Linked DNA regions of Cricetulus griseus. The protein of the gene in region 2 purifies or fractionates together with the protein of the main gene of each other region. This does not show direct contact. Links are inferred from orthologs where the notes say so. Each region holds a gene or a part of one and is shown on either strand. Other genes may lie near its edges.

Region 1 (10,617 bases), on a different chromosome or scaffold from region 2:
TCTGGATGACAGATCAGGCAAAACAGACAAATCCTTTACCACAGACTCCATCGGGTAACTTTGACCATCTTTCCCTTTGAAACATTAGATCTACCATGAAAACCTCACAAGGAATAAAAGCTCAGGGACTCTCACTTCAGAAGTGCACCAATGTCAAAATCTAGCACAGCTTAACTCTCAGACCTGTCTCCAGTAGACAGTGACTTCCCTCACTCCACTCTTGAAAGCCTGGCTTTCCTGGGTACAAGGTTAAGAGGGTGGCTGGCTGGCCATAGCTTTCCTCTGGGTGTGTCTTCCTTTAGTGATCATCAAGAGTTCCTCAAGACTGGGGGATTTCCTTGGTGAGAAGTCTTTCTTCTTGTCTGAGGTCAGGATTTCCCTTTTTCACTGTGTAGTTCTTTTTGCTTCTTCTGGTTAGTAATATGTTAATAATGCATACATACATGCCTTTCTTCAATAATGAGAAAAAATTGTAGCCTGTTTTCCACATCAGTGCTTTCCTGAATGACCTTACCTTTTCATTTACTTCCATTTTACCTGTTTTTTTTTTGTTTGTTTGTTTTGTTTTGTTTTGTTTTTGTTTTCGAGACAGGGTTTCTCTGTGTAGCTTTGGAGCCTATCCTGGCCCTCGCTCTGGAGACCAGGCGGGCCTCAAACTCACAAAGATCCGCCCAGCTGTGCTTCCTGAGTGCTGGGATTAAAGGCATGTGCCACCAACGCCCAGCATATTACCTGTTTTCTTTTAAGATTACTTGGCCGAGCATGATGGTGGCACACATCTTTAATCCCAGCACTCAGAAGGCAGAGTCAGGCCTATCTCAGTGAGTTTGAGGCCAGCCTGGTCTACAAAGCAAGTTCCAAGACAGCCAGAGCTGCTACACAGAGAAACTGTGTCTTGAAAAACAAAAACAAAAAGATAACTTTACTTGATACCTGGTTCATTTATTTAAATTTTTGTTCGTTTGACTTACATGTTCATTTTATCTCTAGAAGCTCTATTTGCTTCTCTTCTGACCTGCTCTTAAGTTGTATCCCACCTTCCTGATTTTGTATTCTAAATATAAACTTATGTCATATTATGAATCAATTTCAGTAAATGGGATTTTTACATCTAACAATACCGTGGGGGTTGTTGCGGGTGCATTGCTTGTTTGTTTGTTTGTTTGTTCTTACCCTCATTCTTGTGCTTTCTGTGCTTGGACTTTAAAATTTTTTTTTTGTTTTTTTAACTGAGTTCTACTTGGTAGCTCAGGATCACTTTGAACTCATGTCAATCCTGTTTGAGCCTCCTGAGTGCTGTGTGTTTGAAGGAGGCTTTGTTTGTTTGTTTGTTGCTTCTATGTTTGTATTTTGTTGAATTGTATGAATCCTAAGACCTAAAATGTGAAATGTTTGTTGTTATATTTCAGGAAGGACTTGAGGACTTGGCAGGGACCAGCATTGTTTTCAGAATCATGTACACACACACACACACACACACACACACACACACACACACACACACACACACACACACACACACACACACACACACACTGTGGTGAGGCAGAAGCCATAGTGTGAGGATCAGAAACCCAGAGTAAAAGACTGGGAGGTGATGAGAAGCCTGTGATGGGTGTATTGAGCAGGATGGTAAGTACTCCCGAGTATCTTTCAAAGATCTTTCCAGCTGTTCTTAAAGTGGCATTAAGAACCTATTGCAGTAACGGAAGACGCGGTGGCAGTGGCTAGATGCAGCATGCAGAAGGACTCAAGTCATCTCATGGTGGCTTAGGCTTTCCTCAGCTCTTGAGCAGTGGCAGGGTTGCCTCTTTAAAGAAGGGGTTAAGCACCTTCTTTAAATCCTCAACACCTGAACACTTGTTTTCTCAAGTCAGAAGTCAGTGGCTTAATCATTCACCTCTCTCTTCCTCTCCCTTGCCATTCATGATTGCAAACAGCTCCCATTGGATCTGATGATTTGCCCAGCCTGGAAGAAACCTCTCTTCTGAAGGGCTTCACAGACACCCCATTCTCTGAGAAAGGACCACATAGGCTAGCCAGCCATGTGCTTCCAAGGGGCGAAATTAAACTTAATTCTATAAGCAAATACAACCTTTTCCAAGTCCAAGTGGATGAGTTTATCTTACTGTTTTCTTAAATTTCATCAAATAACCTCCAAGGTCTCGAAAATCCAAAGATGTAAAAAAGGAATTGAGCTCTGTTTGCCAAGCCATGAGGATTAAATAACGACATTCAAAGAGATTTTTGTGCCCTAAGCACTTTTTATTGGTTTTCATAGGCAATTTGATGTGCAAGACGAAGCAAACAGAAAAGAGGTGGTGTCAGCATGGCTTAAGGTGGCAGTAGTGAGGGAGTGGCTCTCAGAAAACAGCACAAGGTGACCTATCCCAAGAAGAGGCCAAGTTGGTCAGTGCCCGTACTTTCAAGCCCAGAACCAGGACATACTCTCTTGAGGTGCCATCTGTGAAGTCAGGGAGTCACCAGCCTCTGGTGGCATTCATTCTCATACTTCCTGAGCTGTTTGACGTTGATAAAATAAATGATGGGTATGAAATTGACGGGTCTATGACTAGCTATGTAAATGAAATATTCTGTTCTGATATCCCCATCTTGACCACTAAGAAGTAAATCGGTGTTCCAGTGATCTCTGCACATGACAAGCTACACCGGAACAGTATCACATCCAGTGCTTTGCCCAGATTCTGGGTGGGGAGAATCCAGTTGGAGTCACTTGCTGCCAGAGCATTACAGGTCCCCAGGGATTTCCTACAGACATGTCTCCCTGTATGGGTAGGGACACTAGGAGTCCTCTACCCCCTTTCCTCGGAGTTTCTAAGCTACCACCTGCTGTCTCTGGCATAGCTCCTGGTGGGCAGCCTCTGCCTGGTCTAGTGTCTGTAAGAACAGCTTTCTAAGCCACACTGTTACTAGCCAGCACACACATCCCTCCCCTGTGTGTGTGTGTGTGTGTGTGTGTGTGTGTGTGTGTGTGTGTGTGTTCACTGGTTCCATCATAGCTCATGGACAGCTTCTACACATGTTTTCTGCTTTGGTTTCTTCTAGTCTTTTTTATTTATTGACTCTGGCCTTGAACCCAGGGTCTCATGTATAGTCAGCACATGCCACCCACTCCCTTTCTCCTCTTTGTCTTTTGAGGCAGAGTCTTAACTTGGCACAAGCTGACCTTAAACTCACTGCGTAGCTGGCCTGGTTTTGAATGGCCCCTCATCATCCTGCCTCCATCTCCCAAGAGCTAGGATTACAATGATGCACCACCATGCCCAGCTATATTCTAATTTTTAAAACTGTTTTTTCAATGCTGGTTTCTTTGGGAAACCACACTAAGGACACTTGGTTGTTGGCACAAATTCCTCAGTTCAGTCCCAAATCTCCAAAGTAGCAGTACTCAGCAAACCTCAAAAACACCCCTAAAAGAGGCTGACACCCACTAAATGGACTTCTAAAATAGCAACTGTAATCCCAAGCATTTAGAAGGCGGCTGACCTCCTACAAGGGAGTAAACATGAAAAAGCGCCTGTCGGGAGGGCTCCAGGTCTGTTCAAATGCTAGGTCGGTGGATAGAAGCAATTTCCTCAGAAAGCTGAAGGCACCAAAGGTTACATTTGTTAGCATTTCAGTGTTTGCCAAATTCAGCACAGATTCTGTATTTCCCAGCGCTTCAAACTTCACAAGGCCCTAGCTGTGGCTCTAGGTAGTGTCACTATTGATGTCCCCGACCCCTAGCGCCAGTGCCCTGTGCCCCCCCCCCCACCCCACACTGTCCCACTCTCAAGTACTGTTAAAGCTACCAGCCTCGAGTTAGAGGGGCTGCTATCCTGAGGTCGAGGTCTCTGCTTTGGCTGTGTGCACACTCAGTGCCCTTGGTCAGTGACTCTGGTCTAGCCACCGTGCCTGAGTGGGAGATGACCAATAGCTCTGGACCCTGGGGTGAAGGCTGCTGTGACAGTAAGAAAAGCGGACGCACAGCTTCACCTGGTCCCCGTCCTTTGGTGGCAGATGTTAAGGAAACCTTTTGGGGAGCTGAGCTTATGGTGGGGCCACAATAAAGCTTTAAGAACCTGTACAGTAGAGTTCCAGCCCTAATTATGAAGCCTTACTGGAAAGAACTGGGACTGCCACCACCCACTGTCTGCACCGAACTCACAGGAGGCAGCAGCCGGCTCTGGAGCAGGATGGACCTTAGATCCCTCTGCCTACAGAACCTTCAATAAATCAATAACAGGTGTCTTTGCTTGCGACCCTGCCCCAGTCTACACCACCTGGGGTCCCCAGCTCCGAGCGCAAGGGAGCCAACAAACTCTCTGTGGAGGGAAACCCTTTGTGACCACACCTCCCTCTGTTATTTTTACATTTCCCGCAACCACTGAACCTTGGGACCACCGACAGAAAGGCGCCATTGGTGCAACCCCGCCTCTTCCGCTACAACGCTTGGTCCGCTTCGATCCCGCCCCTTCCTCCGTCCCGACCCCGCCTTTTCCCGCCGCCGGCTCGCAATGTCCGGGGTCTTGATGCTTTTCTAACCCCAGCCCTACATCGAAGTTCCCGCACGTGGGAGGCCCGGCCGGACCTTGAGCGCGATGCCTCGCTCGCCCCGTTGCCGGGCCGTGCGCGCTCTGCTGCGCAGTCGATACCGCGAGGTGTGGCCGCTGGCAACCTTGGTGCGGCGCCTGGGACCTGAGGGCAGGCGACTTGTACAACCCGGAGACCCAAAAGTCTTCCGCACGTTGGTGGCCCAGTGCCTAGTGTGTGTGCCCTGGGGCTCGCAACCTCCACCTGCTGACCTTTCGTTCCACCAGGTGGGCCTCCGGGTTGGATCCCTGTGGGTCGGGGGCGGAGAGCCGGGAGGACGCGGGACAGCGCGTCTAGCTCAAAACCCTCTTCTCCTTACCAGGTGTCATCACTGAAGGAGCTGGTGGCCAGGGTCGTGCAGAGACTCTGCGAGCGCGGAGAGAGGAACGTGCTGGCTTTTGGCTTTGCGCTTCTTAACGGAGCCCAAGGCGGGCCACCCATGACCTTCACAACCAACGTGCGCAGCTATTTGCCCAACTCGGTGACTGAGTCTCTGCGCGTCAGTGGTGCATGGATGCTTCTGCTGAACCGAGTGGGCGACGACTTGCTGGTCTACCTGCTGGCCCGCTGCGCGCTTTACCTGCTAGTGCCCCCGAGCTGTGCCTACCAGGTGTGCGGCCCACCCCTGTACCAAATCTGTGCCACCGCGGATACTTGTCCCTCTGTGCCCCCCAGTTACAGGCCCACACGATCCGTGGGCAGAAATTTTACTCATCTTGGATCCACACACTCGGTCAGGAACAGCAATCACCAGGAAGCATGTAAACTCTTGCCCTTGCCATCTCGAGGCACAAAGCGGAGTCTAAGCATCACCAATAGAAGTGTGCCTTCATCCAAGAAGGCCAGGTGCGATCTGGCCCAGAGACTGGAGAAGGAACCCGACAGGCAGGCGGTTCCAACCCCATCAGACAAAACAAGGGTGCCAAATCCTGCTGAGTCCCCTGCAGTACCTATTAGTAGAACTACCAAGGAAGATTTGTCTTCCGGAGGGAAGGCACTTGGCCTGAGTCGCCCCGGGTCAGCGTGCTGTAAACACAAGCTCAGTTCCACATTCCTGCAGTCACCACTGTGCCAAGATGCCTTTCGGCTCAGACCATATACTGAGACCAAACACTTCCTGTACTCTAGGGGAGGTGGCCGAGAGAGGCTGAACCCCTCGTTCCTACTCAACAACCTCCAGCCCAGCTTGACTGGGGCCAGGAGACTGGTGGAGATAATCTTTCTAGGCATTAGGCCTAGGACATCAGGACCACTCTGTGGGACACGCCGCCTATCGAGGCGCTACTGGCAGATGCGGCCCCTATTCCAGCAGCTGCTTGTAAACCATGCGCGGTGCCCGTATGTCAGACTCCTCAGGTCACATTGCAGGTTTCCTACAGCAACCCACCAGGTGGCCGATGCCTTGAACACCACCAGCCAGCCGCACCTCATGAATTTGCTCCGCCTACACAGCAGTCCCTGGCAGGTATATGGCTTTCTACGGGCCTGTATCCGAAAGCTGGTGCCTCCAGGTCTCTGGGGTTCCAGGCACAACCAGCGGCGCTTCTTTAAGAATGTGAAGCAATTCATCTCCTTGGGGAAGTATGGCAAGCTCTCTCTGCAAGAGCTGATGTGGAGGATGAAAGTAGAAGACTGCCCCTGGCTTCGCAGCAGCCCAGGTGAGCAGGGCTGGTCTCCAGCTGAATGCAGTAAGGGTCCAAAAAAGGGAGACAATGAGTGGCAGGAGCCCAAGGCCTTAGTGCAGTGTCTTTATGCAGTCAGTGGTTGGGCAAGTCCCATCTGATGATCTCTGACTCCAAGCTCCCTCCCGCCCAGTTTGTGCTAACCAAGATTCTTGTCCAAGCCCTGGGGCAGGTTCTCAGGGCCAGGGACACTGGTGAACAGCAGGTGGAGTGCATAGTGTGGGTAGAAATACTGGCACTCGGTGAGAAGAAGCTCCAGTGAGAGCTGCTACAGGCTATTCTTGATCCCCTTGTGGAACAGTGCCTCGATGCTAAGGCCCCTGTGGTTTAAGGGTTCTGTTTCTCCCAGTGCAAAGACCTATGCGTGAGCTGTAGTGGTGCAGCTGCTCAGTCCACGAAAGGTTTAGGTGGAGAGAGGAGAAATAACGAAAGACTTTCCTACAGTGAAGATCCCTGTCCCATCTTAGTTTTGCAAATGGACCCCAGAAAGGAGAACCGAGCCTGCTGCAGGAAGGGGGACAGTGTTACTTGGGCGGTTGTAGAGCCAGGACTCCTGTGCCCTCCCTGTCCTGGTTTAATGTTAAGGTTGGTCCTCTTCCTTTCAGCAAGCCCTCCTGTCACCAATCTGTGCGTCTATGAAAGGAACCACACTCCCTATGCTGCTGCTCTGTCCTCTCCCAAACTCCTAGGATATTTACAACTTAAGGGGAAAAGATGGCAGAGCCATGTTTACCCACCGTGGGTGATCTCTGGGAGCTCCAGAGTGAGCCTATATCAATACACACACCTGGTTCTCCCAGCTGCAGCAGAGAGCCTCTGTGGCCCTTGTAAGTCATCCCACCTGCCCATGCATTGTCATCTCATCCCTTTGCAGCCCCAGAGCTCCCTTAGCCACAGCTGTCAGTATCTTGCCCAGGGTTACAGAGATGTCACTAGAGAAATACTGGAGCCCCTCGTACATCCCGTCTCCTAAGACAGATGGCTGCTCTCCTTCTGGACATAAGCTACTGTGACTCTGCCCAGCTCCCAACTTTATGATTGCTCTTCCAGATTTGTTTGGACATGTCTCTCCTACTCCAAGAACCCTTTGACTTTCAGTTTCTGTGTGGAATGTTCTCTTTTAATTTCATTCACACCTCTTCAGTTTTTTTGCTGTCGCTTTCTATCATCATAGGTTGGGTATTTGGCTACACATTTCCTTTTGGATAGTGCCTTAGCTGCACCTACTGCTTACATATATGATAATTTTGATATCAGTGGTTTGGGGCATTTTCGATCTTCCATTGTTTTTTGTTTTGATGTATTTATTACCTAGGAATTTTTAAATTCCAAATGTGAATTTTTTTTTTGATTTCCCTTTTAAATTGATTTTGAGCTCTTGTGTAGTATAGTCCTTATAATACTAGTTAACTGAAGGCGCTGGAAACTTGCACTTCTGCTTAGTTAGTTTTCCCAAGTTCCTTGCATTTCTGAGTGCTGAGGCTTTTGTGTTCACTGTGTCAGGTTTATACAAGAAATGTCCACATCCTTTCCAGGCCGTGAAAAAGGAAGGATGGATACCTCTGTCTATGACTGGACAACTAGAGTTATTTCTTCTTGTTCTGGTGGTATTTATAGGCAGTGTTGTTAAGTGTATGTACTAGTTACAAGCTTTTATTTATTTGTTTGAGTCAAGGTCTTACTATCTAGTTCCAGCTGGCCTGTAACTTGTTTATGACCTTGAACTCAGAGATCTGCCTATCCCTGCCTCCTGAGTGCTGAGATTAAAGGCCTGTGCCACCACACCTAGCCTGAATTTTTATCTTTCTGATTAGAGAATCAGGATATTATGTCTGTAGTGATTTTTTTTTTTTTTTTTTGGAAGGGGGTGGTTTAAGATAGGGTTTCTCTGTGTAGCTTTGGAGCCTGTCCTGGAACTTGCTTTGTAGACCAGGCTGGAGATCTGCCTGCCTCTGCCTCCTGAGTGCTGGGATTAAAGGCGTGTGCAACCACCAACCAGCCTGTAGTGATTTTTTAAATGTAAAGCTTTTTTTTTTCCCTTTGAGACAGGTTTTTGCAACATTGCTCAGGCTGCTCTCAAATTTGTGACCCTGTTTCCTGCCTCAGCTTCTGGAGAAGTGGGGTAGCAAGTGTGTAATACACGCCCAGTAGCTGAGTTTGTCAAACTGGCTGACCTGGGCTTGCTTTTGGTGTTTCCCTGCTATGTCTTTTTCCTCCCCTTAAGTTTTGCTTTTAAACTTTTCACATTCTTATAGATCAGATAGATCTTTTTCACAGCATGTAAGTGAATTATTTCCAGTTTGCTTTCATTGGTTTTAAATTTTTTATTCTCATGGGTGTTTTGCTTGTATGTCTGTGTACCACTTGAATGCCGAGTACCTACAGAAGCCAGGAGAAGAGGGTGGGATCACCTCGAACTGGAGTTTCAGATGGTTGAGAGTCACCGCGTGGATGATGGGACTCAAATCCCAGTTCTCTGAAAAAGCAGCCAGAGCCTTAACAGCTGAGCCATTTCTTCAGCCAGCTGGTCTTAATTCTTGCTGCACCCCACCCCCCACCCCCAAAGTCTTGCTGTCTGAGCAATTGTAAAGTGCATTTCCTTGCTGCACCTGTTTTCATTCTGTTTTTACCTTTGAGCGATAGGAAGTCATGTGCACTGTTCTTTGCCAGCAGTCACCTGACATTTGAACCTAAAGGTACTTGAACTTGGGTCAGCATCTCCACTACCTTCCTTATCTCTCTGCTGATTTCATTCTGCCTTCAGTCTCTCTACTCCCAAGTTAAACATCATGCTTGTTTCTTAAGGTCACTGTTTTATTTAGTCTTATCCTTCCACATTTTCTCCACTTATTTACTTATTTTTAATGATTATTTTGTGTGTGAGAGTGTTTTGCCTGAGTGTGTATGTATATGTACTATGCCATGCCTGGTGGTTGGAGCAGACCAGATGAGGGTGTTAGATTCCCTGGAACTGGAGTTTACAGGAGGTTGTGAGCTACCATGCGGATGCTGAGAAACAGCATGCTCTTGACCACGGAGATATCTCTCCCGCCCCCGATTCCTTCTTTCTTTGTTCATTCTGCTTTCTATCTTGTGCCTCCTTCTGGGATTCTCCATTCTCCTTCACAAGTTTCCTTCATGTTTATCACTGCTTGGTAAACGCAGCTTTATCCTGGTAAAGCGGGCTCCCACGGTATCTGGAGATGATATACAGAGTGATCTCCAGAGGCCTTCGGGAAGGACAGCTATCATGGCCTGTGGTGCACTGACCCCTTAGGTCCAGTATGACAGTGAAAACAACCTGTCCTCTGCTTGTCCCTACACATCTCTGAACCACACTCTGCTCAGTGGCAGTGAGCGTGTAGTCTGTGACCCAATAGTACAGGCCCAGCACCCATTGAGGTTTGCCTGTGCATGTGTGTGGAGGCCCGAGGTTGACATCAGGTATTTTCTTTAATCGCCTGGAATTGATGATTCAGATAGGATCCATCTGTCTTTGCCTCCCTAGCACTGGGATTACAGGCACAGGCCATACCTAGCTTTTCTAAGTGGGTTCTGATGAACTTGGTTTTCATGCCTCTAGCGCAAACACTTTACCAGCTAAGCCATGCCTCTGGCCCCTACCTGAAGACATTCTTAGCTTTAGCAGTTGGTAGAGGTCAGGGTCTGCTGAGTCAGTCCATCCCAAAAGATTCACTGGATAGTGAGTCACAAGGTGCTAGGTCAGATTCAGAGCTTGGAAGTGAATGGGAGTGAGAGATGGCTCAAGAGAATGCAAGTCAGAGATGCTCAAGAGCATCTCACTCTCAGTCTGCAGCGTTCTATCTCTAGTCACTAGGCCTGCAGGATCCCATTACTGACATGGCTTTGTCAGAGAACTTTAGTTTATGACCTACCAAAAATAAGTCCCGTACCCCCCCACCCCACCCCATCCCCCACCCCCCCCCCCACCCTCCATCCCGCGCACACACAAAGGTTAAGTTAGTTTATTGATGCATTCTATTAGAACCCACCATGTCCAGAGTAACACCTCGTGGGCTCATTTTGGGGTCCCATGGCTTCCATGCTGGACATCATGGGTGTGGGGTGAGTCACGGGTGTTGAGTATCTACTGCTTTCAGGAAACAACTGTGTCCCAGCCGAAGAGCACCGTACGAGGGAAAGGATCCTGGCTATGTTCCTGTTCTGGCTGATGGACACATACGTGGTAGAGCTGCTTAGGTCATTCTTTTACGTCACAGAGACCACATTCCAGAAGAACCGGCTCTTCTTCTACCGCAAGAGGGTATGGAGAAGACTGCAGAACATTGGAGTCAGGTACCACACATCTCTGTTGTCGGTG
Region 2 (10,560 bases):
ATTCTAACTACTTGCGTCAGCAGCAACTTTACAGAACTCTATGGAAGGCCACCCCAAGTCTCTGAATCAATGAGTTCCTACTTGCAAGGTGTTCACTAATAATGACCTCTAAATAATACAAGCCAGTGGACATCAAGGTTTCTGCATATAACTTTACATAAGCATTTATTAAGAAAGCCTAAAAGATAAGGTGTACAAATAGGTTTACAGAACGCAATGCTTCTCCTAAGAATGTAAGTATAGAATGTTTTGTGTTTCTCAAAGCAGCATTACCATTAACCTTATAGAGACTCTTTCTTTGGTGGCTAAAATTTTAGCTGTTACTCAAAAAAATTTTGACTATTTTAGTCAGAGACACCAAATTACTCTAAGCAATTCTGTTTCCATAAAGTCATTCTCCCAGTTTGTTTGTTTGTTTTTACTGGATTCTGTTTGCTACAAGAGGTCAGGACAAAGCTCCCAGGTCTGACTCTGAATGAAAAGGAGCAGTGGGTACTAAACCTGAAAAGTCTGGCAGCTGCTGACTTGCAAGTGCAGAGTCTGTGTTCAACAGGACACGTGACTGAGGAACACCAACAGTCAGAAACAAGCCAGCTTTCCTCCATCACTTCCCACTCTCAAAGCTACCTGCATTAATAAGACAAACTAGTATTAGGACACAGGTAAAGATAAAAATAGGCTCTGTTCTGAAAGGAACATTTCTTTGAAAAAACTTTTTACAAAGTTCAGCTATAAAACAGGAGTGCCTTGCTAGGCCATAACTAAGTAAAGGATCCAGGAGGACAAGGCAACGGTGGTGTATGCAAGTCACAGGATGAGGAAAGCTAAACCAAGTGCTCTTATGTCTTTCTTCACTCAAAGTAGGTACCATACTTTTAATTAAAACCATTCCATCTACTTGCACAAATGTCAATTTATGCTGATACAACTCAACTCTGCAAAGAAAACATCAGAAGTCACTCACTTCATTATTGTTTGTAGCTCCAAGTCCCAGATTGTTATTTTTAACTTTAACTTTAATGTGTTCTGTGGCTCCTTGCTCCTGAGCTCCCAAACCCTGTGGATATTAAACAGAAAGAGATTAAATATAACCCCATCAACTACAAAGAGAAATTGTTGCTTTCTTTCTATTCAAAAAAGACACAGCCCAGAACAATGGTTCTCAACCTGTGGGTCACAATCCCTTTGAGGGTGGAACAACCCCTTCACTGGGGTCAGATATCAGATATCCTGTATATCAGATATTTACATTACGATTCATAACAGTAGCAAAGTTAATCACGAAGTAGCAATGAGATAATTTTATGATGGGGGTCATCACAAAAGGGGGAACTGTATATTAGGGTCACAGCATTAAAAAGGTTGAGAACCATTGGCCCAGAAGGTTCTGGAAGATAATGTCTGCAGCACCAAGGATGCATTCTTAATTGTGAATGCTGCCTCTTGAACCCAAGAACTAATACAGGGTCCATGAAGACATTGTGTAAAGTGCATATCTTGTGTATGTTCTGGAGTAGGGCACTGTTACAGCAAGTGGCAGAAGCCTACGGGAGCATGTGGAGCACATCACATTCTCTGTTACTTGATACTACAACATGACATCAAGAAAGAAAGTGGAGGAGCACTCCATGACCCTGGTTTCACCTTGCTCTCATTCCTAAGGTTGTAGGTCATAGGAATAGCAAGTACAGAGACTGTAAGTGAAACAGACCTTTATGGACTACAGGACATGGAAGGCCTCCAGGAAGGCTTCAGCTAGGTGAATGGGGAAAGAATATAAAAACAGAGATGGAATATCACAGGACCTTGAAAGTTGGAGCAAGATGTAGATTTTAGTCCTCGGAAATATCTTCAGCAAGGGAGCAACATGATCTAAAGTTCAGTTTGAAAGGCTCTTCTGGTTGTGGTATGGTGAAAGGACAGAAGGGAAATGGGAAGTGGCATTGCTTGAATGCTTGGGTAGTTAGCACCATCTTTGAAAGCCAGGGAAACATGGAAAAGAGAAGATTTTAGGGGACAAGAGATTTGTAATAAAAAATAATTTTGAGGTGGCCACTTAAGTATCACAGCTAGGAGGCACAATTCAATGCATGGTAGGTAATTAATGAGGTCACCCAAGCAGACTATACAAATCAGCTCCACAGCTCAAGAGTCTAGAGATAGAAGATGGCCATGATTTAGAGGTAGCTGATGTGATAAAGAACAAGGCGAGAGAAAGGGTAGTAATGCTACCACAACAAAGTTCCACAAAACAACCTTGTGGAGCACTGCTAAGGGTGAGGCAATTGAAGGATACCTTACACCCACTAAATTCAGCAAGAGCCCTGCAACCCTGACAGAAATAGGACATATAGTTTCACATTAAAAGCTTCACTATAGTGAGGAGTGGGTGGGTCATAAGGGATTCAAGACAGGATGCATCTACTCCAAAGGAAAATTAAGTACCATTCTTAGAAACACAAAACTGAAGCTGGAGTATGATTCATGTGTAATGAATTGAAAAATATCTAAGAAAGATATTACAGCAGGAACCAGAAGACCTGGTATTCATGTTCCAGTCTAATTTTACCACCTGGCCACAATTTAGTTCTCCAAAATCAATTACTGACCTAAAGCACAAAGTTCTCCCAGACTCTAAGAAGGTTATCTTCTGATTTGTGATCTACAGGCTTGGCACAAATACTTTAGAGTTTGATTCGATACCTTTCCTTTAGACCACCCCATCTTCTCAAGCATCCTCTGGCCAAACTTGGAATCATCATTGCTCCATGCAGTGTTTCTGGGATCCACAGTCCATTTCTGCTTCCGCCGAGCTGTAAATGAAAAGGCATGTCATCAGCAACCAGTCTTGAGTACATGCAAATCAGAACATGCTTGCATGTTAACAGGACACATTCAGTGTCCAAGAGGATAATAGAATCATTCCCCTGGTTTTCCCTGTAATTATACACTCCTGGCATATAAACTAATCTTGCAAAATTCAAAGCAAAATATTCCCTTTAAGAAAGAAAGCAAAATTGCTAGGTGGTGGTGGCGTATGCCTTTTATCCCAGCACTTGGGAGACCAGTCTGGTCTACAAGAGCTAGTTCCAAGACAGGCTCCAACGCTACACAGGGAAACCTTGTCTCAAAAAATCAAAAACAGAAAGAAAAAAAAGGAAAAGAAAGCATCCACATCCAGTCACTGGCAACAACCAAAGACCCTCTTGTAGCCACCTTCATACTCACTGGCAGCTGCAGCAACCACAGCAGCAGGTGCAGGCACCTCGATGCTCACTGCTTCATGTTGTAGGCTAAATGCTACCCATACATTAGATTCAATTTCCACAGTATCTCGATGAAGGCAGATACTCTTACCTTTCTATCTTTCAGATGAGAAGACCCGAGTCTAGGAGAATAATATCTGCCTAACATCTCCAAGTAAAACCCAAACCTTTTATACAAATCAAGGTTCCATGGATTTCAAAAGTTATTAAAGGGAAGGGTGAGATGGAGATTCATGTGGTGCTAAGCTAACCTTAAATTTGCTATATAGCTAAGGATAACCTTAAACTCCTGATTCTCCTGCCTCCACCTTCCATGCCCAGATCAACTCATCATATTCTTAATACACAACTTATGGAAAGTTAATTGTACATTATGATTAACAGCCAATATACCTCCCTTCTTAATAAAAATCACAGCGTATTCACTGAGCCTCCAGAATAATCAGTGGCACTTCACATTCTACTGCACTGTGGTGTTTATACCCATCTTCCATGTGTCCTGTTACTCTATATCCCTGAAGTATCATATTCAGTTCTTCATTCTTATGTTTCATTGCAAGAAGGAAAATAAGCACTTTGCATATAGCTAGCACCTGATAAAAATGTATGAGTATATGAAGGAATGAGAAAGAAGGAGAAAAAGGAAAGGAAGAAAAAAAAAGGAAGAAAGGAATGAATAGCTGAAATAAGGGAACTGCTTTGAATTGCATGGAAACTTTTCTCTGGAATTAATATAAATAACTGACAATTAAAAATTCAAGTTCGGGCTGGAGAGATGGCTCAGAGGTTAAAAGCACTTCCAGCAGTCCTTGAGTTCAATTCCCAGGCACCACATGGTGGCTCACAACCATCAACAATGAGATCTGGTGCCCTCTTCTGGCCTGCAGGTATACATGCAGGCAGAACACTATATATATAATAAATAAATCTAAAAAAAAGAACAAGTTCATCACTATAGTTTTGTTTGTTTCTCTGAGACAGTCTATCTCTGTAGACTAGGGTGGCCTTGAATTTGGTGGCAATCTCTAGTCTTAGCTCTACAAATGCTGGGGAAAACAGGCAGGAGCCACCACATTTGGCTTCACTCTTACAATTTTGAGGGAAAACTATGGCAGAAAAGAACCCACCAGGTCAATAAAACAAGAATCTAAACTTCCAAAGTCAACTGTGGCCAAGTAAGGAATCTGGAGGTCGAATGTTATTACTGCTCACCCATTGCACTCATGTAAGCACACTATCAACAGCCTCATAACCCAACTGAAAAATAACACAGCCCCTTGTCAAAGGGCTCACTGTCTTTTATGTAAAATCAATAGGGATCTTTACCTATATGTACCCTAGCAAAAACAAGAATCCCTTCACAGGCATGCAGGCAGAAGCAAACAAACAAAAAGAACAAAAACAATAAAACACCACAAACCAAACTGAGTTGGATTCAAATTTGCAGTGTTATGCCTGCGTGGGGTGGGGGTGGAGGGGAGCTGATCCAAAAACTTGTTTCACCTGGCTCAACAACCTGGTATATACTCAGCACACTATCTCACTAATGCACACAGTAAAGACAGTCGTATTAGCTGGTGGTCTGCATGTGTGTCTCCTCTGATGAACGTCTAGAGAATGCCTGCCGGGGTTGCTGACCATGGCTTGTAAGGAGCCTACCCATCCCATCAGAAATGCATCCCTGTCACATACTTACCCAAGATGCATTGCCATGCTATATAAGGAACTGGTTGCCAGGTCAGTTGTTCTCCCCTGTATACTACTGCTGACACTCCAATCTGTATTGATGCAATCACCTCACCAGGATTATTAAGCCTGGATGAGGCAGAAACGAGCCCCAACTTCATGTTAGTAGAGACCAGCTGAATTGCCTGGAAGAGGGTCGAATCAACTGATCTACCTAGAAAGGACGCTCTCCACTCCAACTATTGAGCTGCCTGCCCGATGTGCAGTATGCTCCATGAAAACAGAGTGGGGGCAAACTACAAACAGAGAACCCAGACTGGCACCGGGGATCAGGGTTGGCAGTAGGGTAGTGGGAGATGGGGAATAAGAATCACTAAAACATGCCTTGTTCTAAAATGCATAATATCATCTTTTAAAAAGAAAATATCTGTTTAAGCTCCTTAATAGCTTCACACAACTTCCAGGAAAAGTTAAAAGCCGGTTCTTAGTTAACATCACACGACTGCCTACTGGTGGCAAGAATTCATAGCTACACTTATTATTTATAAGTAAAAGTAGCCTCTAAGGAGGGGAATTTGTGGACTTCAAGTGTCAAAGACATAGAGGCAACGTCGCCTCAAACCACGGATACCCTCTCAATCTCGCTTGGAACCATTCAGCAGCAGCCTGCACTCCCGCCATGGGCTACTACTCAGTGTCTGACACTTGTAATGCTTCCGCTTTTCTTCTTCGGGTCCAACACAACTTGGCCAGTTGAATTTCAGAGCCTGAAGCGATGCTGCGGGACCCACCTTTCTGGAACCAACCTCCGGACACTTGAGCCCGGAGAAGTGAAAGAATCCTCCCAGGTGGCCACGATGGCCCGCGCAAGGGAAAGTCTGAGACTTGGTGTCCTGAACCTCAGAACGCACACGTGAACGTGCGACCCGAGCCTTTAGCACCAGGAACAGAGTCCCGGGGACATCGCTGTCTGTCCCGCGCCAGCCCGGCAGTCACTGCGGTCCCCACCCGGAGCTCGGACACTCCCCCCCCCCCCCCGCCCTGGGTACTTCGGTGGCCAGTGCCCGTCAACCCATCACTCAGTCGCCCAGCTCGGCCGACACTCACGCTCCGCCAGCATCGACATTGTCGCAAATCTGCCGAGCGCCGCCTCTGACCGGGAGCCCAGGGGTCTGAAGAGAGGATAAGATAGAAACCCTAGGCGCGCACGCCGGGTGGAAAGGGGCGCTGGGGGCGCATACTAGTGACGTCAGCTGTACGCGACTCGCTATCAACCACGTGAAGCTGAGGGGCGGGACCGCCTTGCAGGATTGAGAGATCCAGATTCGTTCTAGGGCTCGGCCGGAGCTTGTGGGACAAAAGCAATTCATAGTTTAACTCCGAAAATGGGTGTGCAAGCGCCCTTAGAGCTGTTCGGGGGTTCTGTCCTGGGGGCCTTTAAAGAGCTGGCGAGACAGCTGAAGAAGAAGGTTTTGGCACTATGGAAGGAAGCCTGTGCTCCTCACATTTTACCTCTGCTCATTGGGAATGCTGAGCGAGGAGGGAGGGAGAAAAAGCAGACACAGACATCTAGCTGGCAAAGGCAAATGAAGCACCATGTGTTTTTGTGCTCAACGGTGGAGAAATGTTAACTCTTCAAAGGTCTTCACTGTGACAAACTTAAATCCCAAAGGCCTTTCCCAGTCCCATTGTTAGATCTGCCATACCTGGCGTTTGCTGAAATCATCCTGCCACATTCTGCCGCGCCCACATTGCATCCCTTCTCCTCCAGACCTTTGACCTCAGCTATCCCCCAAGCTGTGTATTTGCTTTTTCCCTCTAGCTTCTCCCTCCAGGGTCCCTTTCTTTGCCAAGGCTTCCCTTCCCATCTAGACCTTAGCTCTTCTCACATCTTTGTTGTAGCCATGCCTTGAGCACTGGCCAGTGCGCTGTCCTTCACAGGGCTCTTCTTCATTTCCTCTTCTTGGGAAGGCCACGTCCACTTTTCATCAGACCCAACTACCCAACCCATGTAGACCGCACTGCAGTCAGTGCAGCCCTTCTAGGACGCAGTGTGCTGGGGAAATGAAGTGGTATTGTCTAATGGCTGTGGTGGGGCAACAACTCAGAACTGGGAGTCAACAGACCTGAGAATCGGAAGTGACTTTGCCCCCATCTACTTACCTGTAAGATGAGGAGATTGATAACACTCAGCTAAGAAGGGTCATGTGCTTGACCATGAATTATAAACAAGAAAGAAAAGGCCGGAGGTATGACACTGCAACTATGAGGCTAGGTTTGACCAAATCACCCCTTTAGAGCACCTGGACTGTGACCAAAAACCTTTCCAGTTTGCCCTTTCCTAGGGCCAGTGCTGCTGATCTAGATCACCACTCCCAAGGCCAGAAAAACGGTGGACTTCCAAGCAGGAGGGCACACAGGAGCATTTCCTCACACACGGTGAGGATACAGGCTTTATTGTATAGCCTCTCACTCCTCTCTAGAGGATCTCCTCAGGACAAGGAGGATTGGCTAATGCGTGGCATTCCCCGTGAGTGTTCTTAGATCACAGCATCTTCTACCTTTGGAAACCTTTATTTTTTGTTTGAAAACATCTTTAGGGAGCACTGTCAACTTCTATTGTCCATTTACCCCTGTTTATGAAGAATTTGATGAGCAAGGTTGTAGAGGACAGAAAAGAAAGTATGTCGTCAATTCAGGTCTGGAGTCTTAAGCAAGTTGATTAGGACACTAGAGTACTTGCTTCTATCATGACTTTTTCTAGAGCAGAAACTAGTCTTGGTGATTTAAAAAAAAGTAAACTGATAAATTAATCATAGTGGAAGTAAGAGACAACCAGAAAAGATCCTGAGATTGTCAGTGTGAAGTTCAGCATGCACTGTGTAAAAATATTCTGTAGTTGTAATAGTGAAACTCCTGTCCTGGCCTCTGCTAAATCTGATTGATTCTCCAGGAAGACAGCATGTTGACATGCTGCACTTGTGCCTTACATAATCATTCCTCTTTCATTATTATTGTTAGTTGATGGGGATTGAAGCTCACCCATGTATAGCCTGAACTTGACTGAGCAAGGGATTGCTATATCCTTTCCTATTACCAGCCTTAGTGTGCCGTTCCCAGGAATAAAGACCTTAACGTGTGGAATTCCTGAATCAAGGTGATATTTCAAACCTCAGAGATAAAAAGAAGAGATGTCACACTTCAAAACAGAAAAAGAAGGATGGATGAAGGGAGAGGGAAGACAAAAAAAAGGAATGGCTCAATTTCTACTTGCCATGGCATCAGAAAAGTATGCTTATACTGCCTCATCACTGCACAAAATGGCCAGGGGCTGCTAGAGCTCTGTAACCCCCTAGGGGTGGAGTGTGTGGCAAATGACAGCAGCTACTCAGGTAGTTGCAGGGATTGCTGGCAATAGTTCCTCCCACAACCCCAACTGCCAGGGACCAGGAGGCTCAGTTTTCTCTTATACATCAAAATGAGCCAATCTGTTATCATGAGATTTACTCATGTGCTGAAACCTTCATCCCCAATGAGATGTCATGAGTAGGTGGGTGTCTTTGGGGGGGTTGTATGATCACAAAGAGGGAGCCTCGGGATGGGATTGCTGCCTTTAAGAGAAAGAATCTAGGTTTCCTCCTCTCTCTCACATACTCTGAGAATGCAGCAACATGACAGCATCTGGGAACCAGCAACTAAATTTGGCAACCATTCCACCTTGGACTCAGTCTCCAGGACTTTGAAGGATACATTTCTGTTATCTAAAAGCCAATTTAAGTATTTTGTTGTAGCAGTTCAAATGGACTAAGACAGGCAAAATTACACATTGGCATAGAGTGATAATCTTACATTCCAGACCCATATTCCTAAAGAGCAAAGAATCAGGAAAGGGTCTCTCATTCCCTTGATGCAAATATTTAGGAGGGTGAATACATTCACACTTATAGGAGGAATTTTAGTTTAAGAACACTACTACAAGTTTCCTACATCTCTTTCATAACCCAGCCCCTCTTTAAACAGCTGAAAACTCTGTAAGCCAAAAATTTTCATCAGTTCAGAAGAATTTTAGGAAAGATACTTAGGGATGAGTGTACCAGAGGGAATTCTTATCATTTTCCTGGTGCACATGTCTTCAAATTGGTCCCTTCATAGAACTGATATTATTTTATATTATTGGCAATTGATTCCTTTCTAAAATACTGACTTGAACCCTGAAACAGTCTAGTCATCAGCCTCTTGGACCAGGGTCATATGTTCTTAGAAGAAAAGACTGAAGATGGATGCAGGCTTCCTCTTTCAGTGTTTTTCCCGGAAAATACCATCAGGGTATGTGGGAAGGGGAGAATAGAAAGATACAGGGACAGGGCTTGAGCTGGCTCAGTAATTAAGAATAATTCTTGCTCCTGCAAAGACCCAGGTTCAATTCCAACCACTCATCTAAGGCAGTTCACAATTGCCTATCACTCCAGTTTCAGAGAATCCAAAGCCCTCTCCTGAATTCTGTAAGCATCTGCATTCAAGTTCACCTCCCCTCCCCCCACACTCAATTAAAAATAATAAAAAAATAAATCTTTTTTAAAAGGTTATGCATGTAAAAAGTTGTGGGGACCTGGGCCAACTGTTGAGGCTCATGTTCCTCTCTCAGCACCCTGGACTCCTGCATCTGATCAAAGCACTCTTTTTGCACTTCTTTCTGTTTCCATTGCTCACTCTTCCTCTTCTCCAAGAAGTCCCTTGCACTGAAGAGGACACTCTGACATTGACATGGCTTTATCTCAAGTCATGGATTCCCCCTTTCTTCCCAAACTGCACAGTTTGAAAATGAACTATGTCCATACATGCAAGGGAGCGTAGAGAATCCTGTCCATAATTTCTGTTACCACCACCTGTTTGGTGAACATGCTTTAAAACTGTTGTAGCCCCGTAGATTCAGTTCCACTGATGCAGCTCTCCTCCTTTCCTACTGCCTTGCCTCCTTGCTTACTCTGCCCACCTTCAGTGAACCTTCTAGCAAAAGACTTAAAAATGGAGTATGATTATATCACATTTTGTGTTTCCCATAACTTCACAATAAAATGCCAGGTTAGGGATTGGAAGATGGCGCAGTGTGTAAATTATTTGCCTTGCAAGTGCAAGGACTTGAGTTCAGATCTTCAGAATCCACATAAAAAGGTGCAAATAGTTGCACATAGCTGCAATCCCATTCATGGCAAGCTGGAAGGTGGAGAGAGACAGATCCCTAGAGTTTATTTACTAGCTACTAGCTTAACATACATGGTGAGGTTCTAGGCCAGTGACAGACTCTCCCTCAAACATAAGGTAGAAGGCACCAGAGGAACAACACCTGAGTTTATCATCTGAGGAACAACAACCAAGATTCTCTGAAATCCATAGACATGGCCATACACACTGGCACGCACGTGCAAGCATGCACTCAGGAAATAAATGGAACAAAGAAAAGTGAGAAGAAAGGAAACAAAGCTTCCCAATGGAGGCATAAGAGCCCTATCTTCTGGATGTCTCTGGGGTTGGTCTGAAGGCCTGTAACTTCAGTGACTCGTCTGCAGGATTTCTCACATTAGGAAGGACAACTTTATATCCAGTAAAC

Evidence for each region.
Region 1: the proteins of Pinx1 (region 2) and Tert purify together in Homo sapiens (co-immunoprecipitation; 3 studies listed by BioGRID and IntAct, with this or other methods). This does not show direct contact. The link is inferred for Cricetulus griseus from reciprocal best matches to the Homo sapiens genes PINX1 and TERT.

The regions. Positions count from the first base shown.
Region 1 is NC_048595.1:368,296,862-368,307,478, forward strand, and holds the start of Tert (telomerase reverse transcriptase), read left to right. Parts: upstream 1-4,216; 5' UTR 4,217-4,601; coding exon 4,602-4,820; intron 4,821-4,915; coding exon 4,916-6,251; intron 6,252-10,396; coding exon 10,397-10,592; intron 10,593-10,617. UniProt on the Homo sapiens protein: Telomerase is a ribonucleoprotein enzyme essential for the replication of chromosome termini in most eukaryotes. Active in progenitor and cancer cells. Inactive, or very low activity, in normal somatic cells.
Region 2 is NW_023276807.1:218,885,838-218,896,397, reverse strand, and holds the start of Pinx1 (PIN2/TERF1-interacting telomerase inhibitor 1), read right to left. Parts: upstream 6,200-10,560; 5' UTR 6,079-6,199; coding exon 6,060-6,078; intron 5,889-6,059; exon of another isoform or gene 5,744-5,888; intron 2,814-5,743; coding exon 2,704-2,813; intron 1,058-2,703; coding exon 965-1,057; intron 1-964. UniProt on the Homo sapiens protein: Microtubule-binding protein essential for faithful chromosome segregation. Mediates TRF1 and TERT accumulation in nucleolus and enhances TRF1 binding to telomeres. Inhibits telomerase activity. May inhibit cell proliferation and act as tumor suppressor.